Linked DNA regions of Daphnia pulex. The protein of the gene in region 1 interacts with the protein of each later gene in a biochemical or structural test. Links are inferred from orthologs where the notes say so. Each region holds a gene or a part of one and is shown in the gene's direction. Other genes may lie near its edges.

Region 1 (6,029 bases):
TCGCTGGAGAGTCGTCCCGTCTCGCCCACTACAACAAGCGGTCGACCATCACCAGCCGGGAAATCCAGACGGCCGTCCGTCTGCTCTTGCCCGGTGAGTTGGCCAAGCACGCCGTGTCTGAAGGCACCAAGGCAGTGACCAAGTACACCAGCACCAAGTAGAGTGATCCTCTTGTTCTCTCTACAAACCAAACGGCCCTTTTCAGGGCCACCAAATTTTAAAGAAAGGAAAAACATCTAACTACTTTTGACATTTATTATCTAATCGAGTTCTAAACTGAACCCATATTGTTGATTAGTGCGACGGAACGTTAGGAAATACTGTGATCAAGAGCTTTTCTCTATCTTTCTGCTGAATTTTAAGTTTGGCAGATCCGGTTCAATGCGTTGATTTTACATATTCATTTGATTTAGAAAATGATTGATATTAAAATTTATCTCCGTTAGCAACTCCTTCTACATACTAAGGAACTAAGGAAGATTTTTGTTAAATATGAAAGTTAAAAATAAAAATACTGCGTAAAATCTGAGAAAACAATATCAATAACATAACAGCATCTCGATATTTTTCGATCGAGTTATTTGGATTAACATAGTTTCAGATCACAAGATCCTTTAGGACGCATTGCTCCAACACCTGCTATGTCAATCAAATCTTTCAAAGATGAAATAAAAGAATGATGCTTATTAATTCAAAATTCAAGGATTTTGTTCTTGTAGCAGCATAAAGTCGACAAGAATATGGTTTAAAAAGTGGTTAAGAAATCTTTTTCTTTAAGTAAATGGTGGCCCTGAAAAGGGCCGATTGGATTGAGTCAGGAGTTAAAATAATAAATCGGAATCAAATTTAACCGCCGAAGCCGTACAGAGTGCGGCCCTGGCGTTTCAATGCGTAGACGACGTCCATGGCCGTCACCGTCTTCCTCTTGGCGTGTTCAGTGTAGGTGACGGCGTCACGAATCACGTTCTCAAGGAACACCTTCAACACACCGCGGGTCTCCTCGTAGATGAGACCAGAGATTCGCTTGACACCACCACGACGGGCAAGACGACGGATGGCCGGCTTGGTGATTCCCTGGATGTTGTCACGCAAAACTTTGCGATGACGTTTGGCGCCTCCCTTGCCGAGTCCTTTTCCTCCTTTGCCGCGACCAGTCATTTTCAAATAAGTTTCAGAGATTTAAAAAATATCGAATGATGTTATGTTAAACTCACTATGGTCCCAATATATACCCTACCGGATCCTCAAGCTGAACTCCTATTGGTGGAACTCAGCTCCAGCCATCATTTGTCAACAAAAAGGATTTCCGTTATAAATTTTCTATTCCCTCCCATTTTTGAATTAACCAATCCCTAGCCAGTGAACTCGCTTAGCTCTGCAACGTCCGTAGGTTCCCCACATATACCAAGCACTTTTCACTAGTTAGGACATCTGAAATTTCACTCGCTCGAAATGGCTCGTACCAAGCAAACTGCTCGTAAATCCACCGGTGGCAAGGCGCCCCGCAAACAGTTGGCCACCAAAGCCGCTCGCAAGAGTGCCCCGGCCACTGGAGGAGTCAAGAAACCCCATCGTTATCGTCCCGGCACCGTCGCCCTTCGTGAGATCCGTCGCTACCAAAAGTCGACCGAGCTTCTGATCCGCAAGTTGCCATTCCAGCGCTTGGTCAGAGAAATCGCCCAGGATTTCAAGACAGATTTGCGTTTCCAGAGCTCGGCCGTCATGGCCCTGCAGGAGGCCAGCGAGGCTTACTTGGTGGGTCTTTTCGAAGACACCAACTTGTGCGCCATCCACGCCAAGCGAGTCACCATCATGCCAAAAGACATCCAGCTCGCTCGTCGTATTCGTGGTGAACGTGCCTAAGCGACCTTTTCCCTTTTGACTTACCAATCGGCCCTTTTCAGGGCCACCATTAGTTGCTTGAAAAGATTTTTCCTGCCAGACATTTCAATATCTTGGATTAAACTAGATCAGTATTGTTTAATTACCAACTTCTTTCTAATTTTCTGGAAATTAATAGTTGTATAAATTTCTTTCATCCAAGGTTGAATTTTAGAATAATTAGTTAGTTGCTATAAGAAGTGTAACGTTATATAAGACCTAAAACTAATTTAATTAAAAGTAACCCAGTAACATGATTTGGTCGACTTCTGTTGGGTTCGTCATTTTCAGTTAAAGTACGGATTTCGATAATTACTTATGTAAATAAACGTGTAGGTATGACCGAAAAAGAGGGGCTTACGAAAGAGGTTAAGTATATCAAGGATTTTTCGACATTACTTATTCTAGAAATTTACAGCAGTTTTTAGTTTGACAAGTTTAAGTTGACCTTCTAGAGCCATAAAAGCCTACAAGCCACAATCTCACTAAACACCAGAATAACAGATAATTTCGTTACCTTTTATATACTCTGCTAAATATAATAAGACGAAGTTGACTTGTTGATGAGAGTGACGAAGAGAAGGTGCTAGCGTCAACCTACTAACTAAATATTATGACGAAATTGTTGCTAGTCCATTTCACAGCAGACTGCAGACGACGTTTGTTCCAATTCATTTCAACCGAAGCCAACGTAAACAATATTTTCAGTTCGTGCCGGTATGCAATATAAAAATATAAAATATTTTTGGTTATTTAAATTATACATTTTTTACGTAGATATCTCGCTTTCATAATGTTCTTCAATCTTGGGTTTTTCACGTAAACCTACAGAATGATTAAATGGCTGTTGTCGCTCATACGTTCATTATTGAACAGAATTTTGAGATTTTTTTGGCCCAGTGATTCAAGTGAATTTACCCTGCCTGTTCACATAAAAGCTGCAGGAGGTAAAACATTTCTTATCGAAATGAGTCGAGATTGGGATGTAGCTCGGATCAAGAAATTTATAGCCCCTAAAGTTGGTCTGAAAGTTGAAGATATCAGCATTATTTTGGCTGGCAAAAGTCTTGCTGATGACTTGTTACTAGAGGTTTGTTAATTTCTTATATTGCTTTTGTTGATATTCTAAGTTTAATTTACCCAACAAATTTTTAGGAGTGTGATCTTGGTCATAATAGTATTCTAAATGCTGTTAAACTTAAAGTCATAAAAAAAACTGATGCAACTTCTTCCGAAGACAAAAATAGGAGAAATACACCATTTCATCAAGACAAGCCTCTTTGTGAAACATTGCTCGACTTGCAGTTAACTGAAGAGGAACAGAAATTGTTGCACAAATCTCTGGGTACGTCTGCAAATAGTTTTCCAAATCATTTTATGAATTCTGACAACTTCCTCGTTTTTAGCTTGTAGTTCTCCAGAGTATAAGCAAAAGAAAGCTCAGTTTTATGTTTACTGTGAATTTCCATGCAAATCAATACAAAGTGGTAAACTTCGAGTTCGATGTAGCCTTTGCAAAGCTGGTGCCTTCACCGTGGACCGAGATCCTTGCTGCTGGGATGATGTTTTACGACCGGAGCAAGTTAGTGGTACTTGTCAGATGGAAGATTGTGATCATTCGTGGGCCGAATTCTACTTCAAGTGCGCACATCACCCTTCACGAGGAGAGACTGACTCAACTCTTCCTCTGAATCTCGTCAAATCAAACTTCAAACAGGTTCAGTGCCTGGCCTGCATGGATATTAGGTAGCAATCGTTTTAAAGTTAAGATAGAATTCAGTAACTTGGCAACTTATTTTAATATCCCACTTTAGTGATCCTGTTTTGGTATTTCAATGTACCAACTCTCATGTGATATGTTTGGAGTGCTTCCAGCAATACTGTATGTCTCGATTGAACGAAAGGAGGTTTGTCTTCGATCCCAATATCGGTTATACCCTGCCTTGTCCAGCTGGATGTGAGAACTCATTGATCGACGGAACCCAGCACTTTAAAATTCTAGGAAATGAGCAGTACCAACGACTCCTGCACTTTGGAGCAGAGGAATATGTTATGTCGACAGGTGGTGTGCTTTGTCCACAACCTGGCTGTGGAATGGGCTTACTTGCGGACCCTTCTTGTCGCCGAATTCAATGCACAGGGGGATGTGAGGTAAGCATATTCTCATAAATATAACCTTGTTAAAAAATGTCTAAATGTTTTTCGCAACTCAGTTCGTGTTCTGCCGCGATTGCCTACAAGGCTATCACATCGACGAGTGTCAGACAAATGGAGAAAACAACTTTCAATCCATGTTGACAACCACCGAGTACGTTGTAGATCCCGGACGAGCTGCTCAGGTTTCTCTAATATCCACATTTGAGCTTGATTCTAGATTAAATGAGTAACATGAAATTATTTACTTAGGCGAGGTGGGATGCAGACAGTCGCGTTACCATACGTGTTACTTCAAAACCTTGCCCAAAGTGCCGAACGCCAACCGAGCGAGATGGTAAATTAAATTATGATCTGGGATTATTTCTCTAACGGTGTAGCTAATTTCTTGTTTGTTCACAGGAGGTTGTATGCACATGATCTGTACTCGACAACAGTGTGGATTTCATTGGTGCTGGGTTTGTCAAACGGAGTGGACAAGAGAGTGCATGGGAAGTCACTGGTTCGGATAAGACAACCTTTCCGCTTTCTTTATCAACCCTTTTATAAAGTACCGTGGTTCCTTGGTGTCGGGTAGTATAAGGGTGGAGAGTGTACATTTCTTTACGCTATACTAGTCAAGAAATTGATGACATTTGGTTCCTATAATAATCTAGACAAATCTGTTAATTGAAAATTGAAATGAATCATTTATCCGAAATATTCAAATGCTGTTCTAGGGAAGTCTTAAGAAGCCTTTAATTTTCCAACTGTCACAATCAAAATATTGCAAACATCCCGTGTTTCACCGATTGAAGGCCTAGACAAGATTTGTGTAATCGGCAGTCGAGGTATAGGGAATGATAAATACCCATATGTATAGCCAATGAAAATAAAGCCAGAAGATTCCCACTAGAAATAAATTTTTCAAGATTTTAAGCCTTTACAAGACGGTGATGAAATTGAATCCTTTTTCCCAATGAACAGAATGTTGAAGTCTCTGGCAAGTGAAAAAAAAGTCTCATTTCTACTGCAATCAGTCCTTGCCACTCTCTTCGTCATCATCATCGGTAGCAAATTCAGATTCGGAGCCTCCAGAGTTCTTATCTTCTTCATCCTCATCATCGGAAATATCCCATTGTGGATGCTCAGTAGGAATCTCCTCTGCTTCTTTAACGTCCATCTGTGAATTAAAATTTTAATCAATCAATAACCTATTTAGCAAAATTAAAATAATTAGCCGGAATATACCTTGATATCCTTCATTTGATCAAAACCAAAATATGAATCGGAGCGTAAACACACGGCGAACGTGTAGAATCCCGGCTTGAACGGAGCTGTGAATTTGAGTTGGATTTCTTCGTGCTCTACTAGATTGGTAATGTGATAGGGGGCGGTCAGAAGCATTTGTTGTTTCCGGTCCGTAATATAAGCCCACCAATATTCTTGTTTGTCTTCGGGATAGAACGGGCAGTACACCGAGTGCGAAAACTGACTTTTACCCTCCAGCAGCCTCTGGCGACGCATTGCAACATCACTCTGTAGCTTTTCTAATTGATCGTCGTCTTTCTCGGGCAAAGAACCATCATTGTTGGCTGCTTCCGCCTCGCCGTCGTCAGATTCGTCCAATTCAACTTCGTCCTCGGCTTCAACTTCACTACAACTTTCGGATTCTTCTTCCTTTGTCTTGTTAGCTGTTTTACTTGATGCTGCTGCAGTCTTCTTCTTATCTTCTACTTCCTTCTTTATTGGCTTTTTGCTGCCTTTTTTATTAGTAGCTCTCTTGCCTTTGTTTTTCTGCCACGGTAGTGACTTCTTTTTGGGTTCCTGTTTTTCTTCTTCTTCCGCTATCACTTCACCGTTCTCGAAAACTTCATTTGTTGTTTCCTTCTCGTTAGCGAACAGAACGCTCAAATCTCTCCTTGCCAAGGCGATCGTAACCTGATTTAAAAGAATGAGTTCTCCGACCGTTGAAACTATTTTGTAAAAATTCATCTTACCGTGACGATAGCGCC
Region 2 (5,960 bases), on another chromosome or scaffold:
AATGAACTCCTCGGATTCCAATGACGTTGACCAAGAAGCAATACCACATTACCTACAGAAAAAAATAAATCTATAACATCAGTTTGTATCGCTGATATCGTCAACTCAGTTAAAGATCAAAAGGAAGGCAGAATGAATCATCATGGAACTCGGAAAATGCTTTTAAGCGTTCTCATCATTTCAATTTACGTTAAACATTACAAGTAATTCTCTCTACTCACTACGTAGATCATGAAATCACCAGCATCTCGAAACGAAAGAAAATGAAACTCCAGTTTTTGGCCCAGTAGCTCAACAATCGACGGCGGTTGTTAAACAAGACAATCTGAATAAACGAACCAAACAAATCGTCAATATTTGTTTACAGCCGATTAAATGATATTAAAAAGCCTGAATTATCAGGGACTCGAGTGGGTCTTCATGGTTGTCAGAAACACAGGAAACTGTTGTTCATCACAAAAATCCAAAAGAAACCATTAAAACTGTCCATTTACCTAAGAATCGCAAACACCTTCATGATTGTATCTCATCTAGTGTAATGCACACCCACTGCCTGCAAAAAAATAAAAATAAACACCATTAAAATGTTAAATCTTCCTGTAAAGTCAAAACAAATTGTCTCAAACCGAGGTGATCAACCTCTGCAATAAATACAGATCGAGCATAAGTGGTTAGACGTTTAATTTATGAGATCCTCTAGCACCGGAATACTACATGTGCGTTAAACCGGTGACTCTGAGGCTCAAATGCAAATGTAAAAATAACTATACCTCCTCCATTGGCTCCATAGCCGTAACAGTCGACATCCATCCTCCACGAAATGTCTTGGCATGGAATCTTCTCTGTAAAAACGATATAACGTTAAGGCGAGGACTAGACCAAAATGACGACAAGTCACTCGATACTTTCAGCACATTTAGTAATCAGGGTACATATTTAGGTGTCCTAAGAGTGTCATCAGCAAAATCCAACAGCATATTTTACATATATGATAAGAAAACCAACCTTTATTCCTCGATTACATTCAAATCAGCGAATTCTGGAAGATAGGTTACAACCAACCGGTGCAAAACCAAGTGAGGTCAGAAATCAATCTAGACATAATTGATCATGAAAATCTACAAACCATTTCAGTGTGATACTGCTTTGGTCTACACTTCAGAATATTGCGATAGAGATTTAATCAAAATATTAATTTAGGTACACTAAATTTCATTGTAATCCTAGGGTCATCAGGACTATTTACCCATATACAATAGGAATTCGTTTTTACCTTCCAAACTAGTCGTCTTCAAGGCACCAATGTAGCCTAAATGCATGATTTGTCTCACAGCCCTTCAAAAATTGTTTCCGATCCTTGCACTCATCTGCCATCATCCCTCCTGGCATTGAAGATATCAACCTAAAATGAACAGATTAAGAGATATAATCAAACCTGTTCCTACATGAGGCAAATTAACAACTTAAATTGACAAGTTAGTTACTAGACAAGAGGAAATTTCATTCGCCTCATGACCGTTACTGCAACATTGATTTCAGACTGAACATGGAATTTCACTTAAAACTACTTATTATCAAACTTGTCCATTTTAACCAAAGAAACCCCAGACCAACCTGAGGCTTCTTTCTCTATAATATACTTCTTAGAGAAAGTCGGTTTTATTAGACTTCAACCTTACCAAAGCAATACACATATAGATATTAAAAATGTTCAGGCTAATTACTGTGTTAAGAGCGTTAACCATATCCTACAACTACGTTTTCAAAACTTAAATGAGAAACTAAAAAATTAGAAAACCCAGAATAACCACGTGTTGATCAACTTACATGTTCAGCATTTGAAGGATTGGTTTGAAATGAAAAGAAGTGACGTTGGCACTTCCATATGTAAACTTCGTTCCCTAACCGTCAGACTGCGTTTTACGGTTTAATTTTTCTACCGCCCGATGGCTCTGCAACACCTTGTTGTTGCATTTATTTAGGTACGTCAATTCTGTTCCCCCTTTATTAAAAAAGAAAGAAACGCGAACTCTTACTGAGAAGCAGGTGTGTTTACTTAATTAGGTCAAAGTTTTCTTGGCCGTTTTGTTAACCAAGAAAAATGGGAATTGAAATAAATCGATTTCAAGGAGAAGTTGATGAAGAATTGTTGTGTCCAATTTGTAGTTCAGTGCTCGAAAATCCGTTACAGGTAATAATGACAGTTCGCTTCCAAAAGCGAGAGTAGCAATAAAATTTCCCCAGAGGGAATGTGATGGATTTAATAGACTTGTAATTTCAGGCACCCAACTGTGAGCATGCATTTTGCTCTGCTTGCATTCACGAGTGGCTCTCGAGACAGCCAACTTGTCCTGTCGACAGACAAAACATAACCCCTCCTCAGCTGAGACCTGTTCCCAGAATACTTCGGAACCTACTATACAGGTTGGTGGTTTGGAAGTTTGAAACCTTATTATCAGTATGAAATTGTACCATTTCTCTATTATTTTTCTAGACTACAGCTCACTTGTGATAACTCTGTTTATGGGTGCACTGCAATATTGAAACTAGATGCCCTGGAGTCTCATGTACAAGAATGTGAGTTCAATCCAAAGAGACCGGTGCCATGTGAGCTCGGCTGTGGGCTAGTTGTGCCAAAAGACGAGTTGAAAGTAAGTGGGTTGTTTTACAGGTTACAACTTTAAATAGTACCTTATTTATGTTGATTGCATTTCCAGGAACACAACTGCGTGCGAGAGCTGCGCTCGTTGATGCAGGCCCAGCAATCGAAACTAGTTGAGGTGCAGGCGGAAGTAGCCGAGGGCAAATTTCAGATGAGCGAACAGAAACGAGAACTGCAGCTGCTGAAGGACTACATGCTAGCCATGCGGAACGCCAATCCTTCGCTGCGGATTCTGGCAGATCAGATGGAAGCCGACGAAGTGAGACGCTGGGCCGAAACTCTACCCAAGGCGAGAGTCCTGCGCTGGGGTGGCATGATCTCGACTCCGGACACGGTGCTACAGGTAATATCCTACAGTTGGCGAGCTCAATACATTCAATCAAATACGATAACCTTTTAAAGTTGCAGGCAATGATCAAGAGAGCCCTTTCCGAATCGGGTTGCCCACCGCACATCATCCAGGATCTGATGGAAAACGCCCACGAACGGCGGTGGCCGACGGGATTGTCGTCGTTGGAAATCCGCCAGCTGAACCGGCGTCAATACGAGAACTATGTCTGCCGGAGGATTCCGGGCAAACAAGCCGTGGCCGTCATGGCCTGCGACAACGGACATATGAATCCAGATATGATATTGGAACCGGGTCTCATCATGATTTTTGCTCACGGTGTAGAGTGACACCCCGGAATTCTTGTCAGATTATTAATCCAACAACATGTTTGTCTTCAGTGTCCTCGCGACCGGCTGGACCACTCCAGCGAGCTGACACTAATGAATTTGTCCCTTTTGTCCTTTAGTTCAGAAGCAGCAGTCCTCTCAACTTACTTAAAAGAATCTGATTTATCTTTTTTCGAATTGTTTATCGTCATCAGTTACTTTCATTGAATCGTGCTCAGTTTGGGGGCTAGGTGTAGGTTTTTATTTGAAATGTTTCTCAATTGGTGTCCCCGCTCTTCGGCGGTTGTAAATGTTCGATACTTGATTAATGATGGCAAAAATCTTGTTTTCTTTCATCATCAACTTTTATGTGCAAATAATGATAGTATATTCCGCCGATGCTGCGGAATAATAAATAATAAAACAATAACTGAGAAGTCAATCGTATGGTATAGACAGTGTGTGTTTGTGTGTATTTTTTTTTTATCTTTTCGTCGATTATTTTTCTGTTATTATCTTTTTCAAACCGGGTTTACTTCTTCTCTCTTTTCAGTTATAATCACATCATCGTCACACATGTTATGTAACATTTTTGTTTTTTTCAAAGTGTGGAAATGGGTTGAGGGTTGGGGGTGGATTTTTTGGAGATGTAATCGCACTACATCACATAGCCATGCTCATCCGAGTATTTAATCACATCACTCAAAAACACTTCCTCTTTTTTAATGAAGTTGATTTTCTTTCTTTTTCGAAACTTTGTTTTCGTCTCCATTCGAATGGCGGAGGGGAAGGATCGGCGGGTAGTGAAACAACATGATACGGGAAGCTAAAGAGATGATTTCAAAACAAGTTATTCACAATTAAGGACAAAATCGATGAGCCAGAGAGAGATAGAGAGAGAGAGAGAGACGTAATAATAAAGTGGTTGGATCGAAATCAAACGTCAAAGAAAAACTACATTGTGTTTGTTGTGTCTGTGCGAACATGTATATACAATTCTTGTACTGAGCTTCTGGAATCTGAAACACACACACACGCATGGAAAATAAAAGACAAATGATTGGCTTTTGTTTCGACGTAATAGAATCGATAATATAATATATAAAATCTTCTGTATATCTATTTAGAGAGAGAGAGAGAGAAAATAAAAGATGGGGGGTGAATCAAACGGCAATTAAAGTTTGTAAGGGGGGTGAGCGAGTTTCAGAATGAAGGGAAAAAATGGGGGGTAACCGACGATCCCGAATCTGCTGACAATCGGATCTGATCTGTGAGGTCCGTTCGGTTTTGAACAAAAAAAAAAGAAAATCAAATAATCAAAAAAAGCCCACACTGCGCAACTGCAGCACACATTTGTTTGTTCTTCTCCTTGTCGCTTTAACCTCAATAATTCTTCGTCTCAAATTGGGCGGGGTCGGGAGAGGAAAGAAGCGCAGCAAGACGTCGTCGTCGCTCCATAATGACGGCCAGTGAGCTCAATCTCGCTCGCGCGAGCACGAACACGAGAGAGAGAGGGAGAGAAAGATAATGTGGGTAATCACGACACGACTTGTCCACAGACCCGCGCAACCAGCACACACGCTGGGAGGACAACAAAAACCAAAAGAAACGGGTTGAGGAGCAGGAGAAATGGTTGTTGTTGTTGTCGTCGGCTCTGTGGTGACAATTTTTGAACACAGTCTCAGGTAATTTATACATAGCATGATACAATCAGTCGATGGGACTCTTTTTTTTTTGTCTTTTTTTTCAATACATCCAACTCGCTAATTAGAGGTGGAAAATCAAAATACGTGTGGTGTGTGTGTACTCACTGCGTGAGTCTGTGCGGAGTGGAAACGAGGGAAGAAGGTCAAATAATCGAAATGGCGACATAATAAGACACGACCAGCGGATGGTGAGAGCAACAACAGTGGAGGTTATAAATGGAAAGACGAAGTCACACACACACACACAGAGAGAGATACTCAGGTCATCGAGTCAACGAATTGGAATGGAGCAAATTGGGAGAGTTGGTTGCTGTTGTCGATGGAGAAAACGGAAGCTCCACCGCAAGAAATTGCGGATGAATGCGCTTTCCTATTCAATCCTCCATTCGGAAGAGAATTAGGAAAACCAAATATGAAATCTTTTTCACGGAACAACAACATCATCGCCATCTTTCTTGCCTTTGTTTAGACACACAACCGCAATGTGAATTGGGAATTTAGCCATACGCAATCCATTCCGGATTCCCCCCACCCTCTCTATTGGTGGGAGGGGCCAAAAAGAAACGAGTAGAACAAACGAGATGTGTAGCAAAGACACACACATAAATAATAATTAAAAAAAAACACCCAATCAATGACAGATTATTAAAAACGGGGGGGGGATGTCATTCCGGAATTTTTCTTTTTTATCCGGAATCTTTGCACCGTGGATCGGAGACATGGCCCAAGTCCAAGTCTTCGCTGCGGGTGTGCGTCCTGAGGTGCCTGGTAATCATGTCGCGTCGGCAGGCGGCGTAGGAGCACTGCGGGCAGCGGTAGGGCTTCTCGCCCGTGTGCGTCCGCTGGTGGGTGCTGAGGTGATCGGAGCGTGAAAACACCTGGCCGCAGATGCGGCAAGTGTACGGCTTGAGACCCGTGTGCAGCCGCATGTGGCG
Region 3 (6,029 bases), on another chromosome or scaffold:
TTTTCTCTTTTTCTTTTCTAATAGGAAAAAACAAACAAACAAATATGTTTTCTCTCTCCTTCTCTCTCTGTATGTGTCAATATCTCCGCCCACTTGTCTCTCTCCTCTTTTGTTTGGGGGTCACCTGCGACGAGAGACATATAACAATAGGACGTGTGATGTGGTAAATATATAACAAGCGATGGGCCAATTTTTCGACGCCACACACACAGACAACAAAACGTGGTCCACTTGCGCCATTTCGCACACATAGGTGTGGCAATGACACCCACTCTACACAGACACACGTGCTGATTGAAAAAACAAATAGATTTCTGTACCTGATAAGAATCCGGTGGGGGGCGAAACGCACTTTTGGGTTTGTTGCCGACGAGGAACAAAGCCGAGCAGAGTTCCGATAAGAAGAAGAAGAAGAGAAAGTTGCGCCCGAACCCGTTGAGGTGGCGCTGTTGAATCCGAACGCCAGTAGCGAGTAGCGAGTCGACTATAGACGGAGTCCACCACCAGCCAAAGATACGCGTATATACCTCTCCCACACACACACACACACACAAAACAGCAAGGGGGGTATGAGTGTACGGTATCTCTTGCATCAAACGCAATCAGCGCCGTCGCCGTCGTCCTGGCATCGACCGCCCCCCTCCACCGACCGACGCGCCCAGGTCCGGCTGTTGCTGCGCGGGCATCTCGCCGAGCAGCCGCTCTGCTTTGCGTTTGACACGGTAGCCCCATGAAAAATGACAATGACAAAAAAGAGAAGAAGAAGAAGAAGAAGATTGAGAAATATCGAAGAAAATCAAACGGCGCAGAGCGGCACCACCGCCGGAATCAAGTCGTCGTCGTCGTTCCCCCCCCCTGTTGGGCGTTGGCTTATTCTCGGCAAAACAACGGGGTCGGGGGTCGGCCCTGCATCTCTGCTAGACTTTTGGATCGATGATCTACCACCCTACCACTCCCTTTACGTTACTTTTGCCCCCCCACCCAAAAGGCCAGACACACACATACACACTATATACTATATTGGGTTGAGAGGGAATCGACGCTCTATAGGCATGGCACAAGATCTTTTATAGACAACGCCGGCGCACTACTGGACAAGCCAAAAAAGCGGAACCCCCTTTTTTTTCCAACCCACACGAAAACAATATTCGAGACATATCTAACCCATGTTATACTCATCATTACTGAGACTACTATAGGTACTATAAATGTGATGTTGCTACGTGCCCAAAGCCCCAAAGTAAAGCGCATATCCGCCGCCCTCACACTTTCGTTTGACGTCTTCATTGTTATTCAACTTGTTTAACCAGTCTGCCGTCATCGGCTCTCTCTCGGGTTATTGGTTCGTCATCTCTTCATTATTCAGCCGTGCCAGTCCATACACATGAATCGACTCTTTCCGTTCATAAGACAACGGCTATAAGTGTATTACATTATTTCACTCCACGTAATAGATGTGTACACGGCGTGCGCTGGCACATGACTTTGAATGCATCCAACATCATCAAAATCTATCTAGCCAACAACTCTGCTCCCCTTATGTAGCCTGCTGCTGGGAAAAAAAATCGTGACGTGTGTACTACTAGACTCGTCACGACGACGGCCCAACTTTCTTTTCATATTTTTCCCATTACACCCGCGAGTTTCTTGAGTGGCGTTATTCATCAACTCGCCGAGAGTCTATATAGCGGCTAGAAACTTTCTTCATTTGCCTACATCAAATGTATACATAGAGCAGCCCAGTAGTTATATATACAAAACAGCGCCGAGCAAGTGACTGCTGGGCGCTTTTCATCTTCATCCGCTAGCCGGAAATAAATAAAAAAAAAAGTTGGCAAAAGACGACAAGAAACGTCTCGTTCGTTCGCTTTTCTATTATGAAAATAGCCCCCCCCCCCCCCACCACCATCCGATCGATGATGATGAATCTCTTTGTACTCTTCTTCTTCACTATGTACACACAACTGGAGATGTTCCACCATTATGGGCTGCTACTGGCTGCCGACTTGGCCCGGTGTGTGTATAAAAGGGCCTAGAAAAGGGGTAATCAGTTCGCCCGTTGCCAAAGGTTGACGTCAGCGGGCGTTTCTATATCATCGATTAGTTGCCACTCTCGTCAATTAGCTCGACGCCGCTTTTGATTATTCAGCAGCAGCCGAGATTGATTCCTGTTTGGTTATTTGAATCGACCAATGAATTCCGGTCGTATCGAAATGATTAAAACAACGGCGCAGCGGCAGCATATAACCAATCAAAGTGGAGGGCTGCGCTGTTGATGAGGATGTATCCAGCAACATTATTATTTTGGGTGCCGTATTCCGGTGCTGCCGGATGGTGTTGAAGAGTTCAGAGGAACCACTCAGCCCTGCTCATTTATGTATCAGAAGAGTTTGAACGATCTACCCGAAGAGTTCCCGCTGGACGAATCGATAACTTCCTCAGCTGGGCCGAATGCGGAGAGCGGACAAAAAAAGAGGGTGGCGTATATAATACATTATTGAAGGGGCGACTGAATGACACAAGGAGAATGAGAGAGAGGGGGGAAACCAGAAGAGTCGACGCGCAGGGTGCGCATCCGCCAGTCTTCACGCAACTCCCAGCAGAGCTCGTCCGGCGTTGCCGGATTTTTGAAGCGAGTCGACACGATCGATAAGGGGACCGTTTTCCTGGGCTTATCGAGACGGGAAGGAGAAGCCTGGTGGTGCTGGCCCCAGCCGTTGTAAGTGAGTAGACGACAATTTCTATACGGGTGTACACAAAACAGCTGTGGCAACTGTGGCGACCAGCACCGGGCATCTCTCCTGCTGCTGCTGTCTGCATGTGTCGTAACGTCATTTGACAAACAACCGCATCTCTCTCTCTCTATCGTCTCTGTGCTGAAACAACAATCACCCAAAATGTTGTCCGATTACGAGCCAGACTTTTTTTTCGAAGAGGACAAGATGTAAGTTGATTCGTTCCCTTTTGTAGCTATAGCTCAATCCATTCCGCATTCATTTTTATTTTTGTTCGGTGCGTTCACGTTTTCCGGTTTTTTTTCCCGTTTGATTGCGTGTGTGACGTCGTCGCATGAAAAGAACTCGTTAACCGACTGGTCGATTCGACTCGAGTTCTCCCAAAAACCCCAAATGTTTACCATCGATTTCAGTTACTACAAGTGTCACTTGACAACACTTTTGGTCGTGTAATTATTTTGGCTGCGGGCAGAATAATAGTCAAGAGTGTTGAGAGAAAAGAAAAAAATAATAATAACTCGGTGGTGTTGTTGTGTGCTGCCCTTTTGTTCAGTTCAGTTCAGTTCATTCTTCATCGCTCTGTGTTGTATTTTCATTTTTGGCCGTTGGATTTCCGTTGAGTCAATTTGGCTGCGCGCGCGCACATCAGCGAAAAGAGCAAAATGTGGCCGTATTACGCCGCCCAGTTGCCCATGAAAGAAGATTCCATGTAATTTTCGTTTGATTTTGTTTTTTTTTTGTTACTTATTTTTATTTGCTTTAAAAACTCACGGCGCATTCTTTTTTTTTTCTTTCACGGCTTGATGAATTTTATGATTGATGTGTTTTTTTAAATTTTTTATTTCCTTATTTCCTTCAATATTACGCACTCGCCTTCACTCGCTCTATTTGCGCGCTCCAATCCAAAAGTCCCGAAACGACTTTTCACAGCGGAACCGGGTAAAAACCATCGACGTAGATAGAGACAACCATAAAACCAGTTCGATATTATATAATCTATATAGCTCAAAAATCCCAGTAGATAATCCCATACACACGAACAGAAACGGACATTGTTTCTCCGATAATAACGACGTTATATTTCTATTCTTATTTCTACCAAAATCACGAAAATCGATATACACGAACTAACTGTGCGTGACCACCTGGGAAAACGTGACCGACCAACAAATCACCTGGACCGCCGGCAATGATGGATATGGCCAGTAGTAATAAAGTTAGCTGGGACGACGACCTATCAATAACAAGTCCATCAGATGAACGTCATAATATCCAGAGCTCTCGTGACGACTGCGATGGTAGCCCAGCAGCGGCAGCTAATAACGACGACGACATTGTCCCGGCCGTTGTTAATTCCGACGAGCTTGAATCGTCCTCTAGCATGATTCTTCTTGAGGTCGAAGACATTGAGGACGAACTACGTGGATTTTTCTGGCCAGAGAATCGAGAGTAAGTCGACGACCCGAGTGCGCGCCTGTACAATCTGCAAAATGTAGAATCGTCGTCGACTATATATAATACGCCTCGCAGTGCGTGCAGCAGTTTAATGGTGTGCGCTATAAATAGAGAGAGGATCGATATTATTTGCCATCTGTATAGCAGCTCGTTTTGCTGCTGGTAAAGCCCATCATCAAATAGTTATTCCATTTTCCAACTTTTGGGCTCTTTAGATGTATGTATAATCATGTAGTCTCTAATTCAACGTCGTGTACTCTTTCGACCTCGTTATTTCGGCCGCCCTTTCTGCGGTCTTTGACGTGTACTCTAACGCTTTTATCACGCTCTCACGATCGATTGGCTATATAGTAGCTCTGTGCATATTATTAGGCTACTATGTATGTTACATTTCGGGGCTCTATTGGCTGAGCTGGCTTCTGCTTCTGCTTTTGAAATTGTGTATGATTGATGTTACGTGGCTTTGAGAAATTATCGACTGGCAAGTCGATAACTTATTTATCTGCCATTTCGCATCGTTGAAATGAATTAAAAATGAATGTTTGCATCACGTATAACAGGGGAATGACGATTACGACGGGTTCCATCGTTCTGGAAAAGGACGGATCAAATTTGATTGGAATCAGCATCGGAGGAGGTGCACCTTATTGCCCTTGCCTCTACATTGTCCAGGTTTATTAACCGAAATCTATCCGGCGCTTCCGGCGCGGTGCGGATGGAATTTTTAAAATTCGTATGTTGGGTAAATTTAGATATTTGACAACACTGCAGCCGCGAAAGACGGTACACTTCAAAGTGGCGACGAAATAATTGGAGTGGACAACGTCTCGGTCAAAGGCAAAACCAAATCCGAAGTGGCTAAAATGATTCAAGCCGCCCAAAGGTAATCATAATAATCAGATTTCCTCCGCGCGTAACTATATATACGTACTTTGGAAGGAACCAACAAATTTGAATTTCAATTTCGTGGTATTTTTAAAATTGTAGTTCAGTCACGATCCGGTACAACAAACTTCACGCAGAGCCCGCCCAGGGCAAGACGTTGGATTTGATCCTGAAGAAAGTCAAGCACCGCTTCGTCGAAAACATGTCCAGCTCGACGGCCGACGCTCTGGGACTTTCGAGGGCTATCTTGTGCAACGACAGCTTGTTGAAGCGTCTAGAAGATCTCAAGCGTTGCGAGGGAATGTACCGAGGCTTAGTCGAGGTATATTGCGTGTACCTTCTTCGTCTTATTCTATCATTATTTGCTTGTTCACGTCACGTTGTTGTTGATGTTCTTCCTTCCACAAACACGTCACGGATGTCATTATTTTTCAAAATTGGGTTCGTTATATAGCACACCAGGCGACTCCTACGCTCCTACTACGACCTCTCCCAAACTTACAAAGGTATATATTTTATAATGGACTCGAAATAAGATTGAAAGTGGAGTGAACTTTTTTCTTAGTCCAAGAAGAGACTTAAATTTTCATGAAACGAATGTTCTTGTCGTGTGTCTTCTTAGACTTTGGCAACATCTTTTCAACCATCGGCGTTCGCGAGTTGCAGCCTCGAGCCAGCGAAGTTTTCACAAAGTTTGGCGAGATCCATCGGCAAATGGAACGCTACGGCGTCCAAATGATTAAACAACTCAAGCCGGTATACTTAATATAACATCCGGCGCCGAGCGAGTTTTCCAGCAAAAAGCCTCCGGCTTCGATACAAAACTTTTGTCTGATGTGCTTGCTGCCCCTCCACAGCATCTGCAGCAGCGAAACTTTTGTCCGTTCATATCTAACTGAATCAATCCATACATGTTTAAATCAGGTGCTGGCGGATTTAGGGACTTTTCTCCAC

The links.
Region 2: the proteins of E3 ubiquitin-protein ligase parkin-like (region 1) and E3 ubiquitin-protein ligase NRDP1-like form a complex in vitro, tested with the Homo sapiens proteins (2 studies listed by BioGRID, with this or other methods). The link is inferred for Daphnia pulex from reciprocal best matches to the Homo sapiens genes PRKN and RNF41.
Region 3: the proteins of E3 ubiquitin-protein ligase parkin-like (region 1) and PRKCA-binding protein-like form a complex in vitro, tested with the Homo sapiens proteins (3 studies listed by BioGRID and IntAct, with this or other methods). The link is inferred for Daphnia pulex from reciprocal best matches to the Homo sapiens genes PRKN and PICK1.

Annotation. Positions count from the first base shown.
Region 1 is NC_060026.1:3,259,857-3,265,885, forward strand, and holds E3 ubiquitin-protein ligase parkin-like, read left to right. Parts: upstream 1-2,487; 5' UTR 2,488-2,598; intron 2,599-2,658; 5' UTR 2,659-2,713; coding exon 2,714-2,971; intron 2,972-3,036; coding exon 3,037-3,226; intron 3,227-3,287; coding exon 3,288-3,627; intron 3,628-3,695; coding exon 3,696-4,032; intron 4,033-4,094; coding exon 4,095-4,220; intron 4,221-4,287; coding exon 4,288-4,372; intron 4,373-4,437; coding exon 4,438-4,547; 3' UTR 4,548-5,050; coding exon of another isoform or gene 5,051-5,197; 3' UTR 5,198-5,259; downstream 5,260-6,029. Other genes in the region: histone H2B.3, read left to right, coding at 1-161; histone H4, read right to left, coding at 847-1,158; histone H3, read left to right, coding at 1,453-1,863; translocation protein SEC63 homolog, read right to left, coding at 5,051-5,197, 5,266-5,955, 6,015-6,029. UniProt on the Homo sapiens protein: Functions within a multiprotein E3 ubiquitin ligase complex, catalyzing the covalent attachment of ubiquitin moieties onto substrate proteins. Substrates include SYT11 and VDAC1.
Region 2 is NC_060021.1:11,014,824-11,020,783, forward strand, and holds E3 ubiquitin-protein ligase NRDP1-like, read left to right. Parts: upstream 1-2,049; 5' UTR 2,050-2,101; coding exon 2,102-2,191; intron 2,192-2,281; coding exon 2,282-2,424; intron 2,425-2,494; coding exon 2,495-2,651; intron 2,652-2,717; coding exon 2,718-3,005; intron 3,006-3,064; coding exon 3,065-3,340; 3' UTR 3,341-3,771; downstream 3,772-5,960. Other genes in the region: uncharacterized protein LOC124194673, read right to left, coding at 5,712-5,960. UniProt on the Homo sapiens protein: Acts as E3 ubiquitin-protein ligase and regulates the degradation of target proteins. Polyubiquitinates MYD88. Negatively regulates MYD88-dependent production of pro-inflammatory cytokines.
Region 3 is NC_060018.1:683,304-689,332, forward strand, and holds the start of PRKCA-binding protein-like, read left to right. Parts: upstream 1-2,650; 5' UTR 2,651-2,897; coding exon 2,898-2,944; exon of another isoform or gene 2,945-3,384; coding exon 3,385-3,444; intron 3,445-3,644; coding exon 3,645-3,674; intron 3,675-3,944; coding exon 3,945-4,184; intron 4,185-4,750; coding exon 4,751-4,862; intron 4,863-4,942; coding exon 4,943-5,073; intron 5,074-5,177; coding exon 5,178-5,397; intron 5,398-5,529; coding exon 5,530-5,581; intron 5,582-5,697; coding exon 5,698-5,831; intron 5,832-5,999; coding exon 6,000-6,029. UniProt on the Homo sapiens protein: Probable adapter protein that bind to and organize the subcellular localization of a variety of membrane proteins containing some PDZ recognition sequence.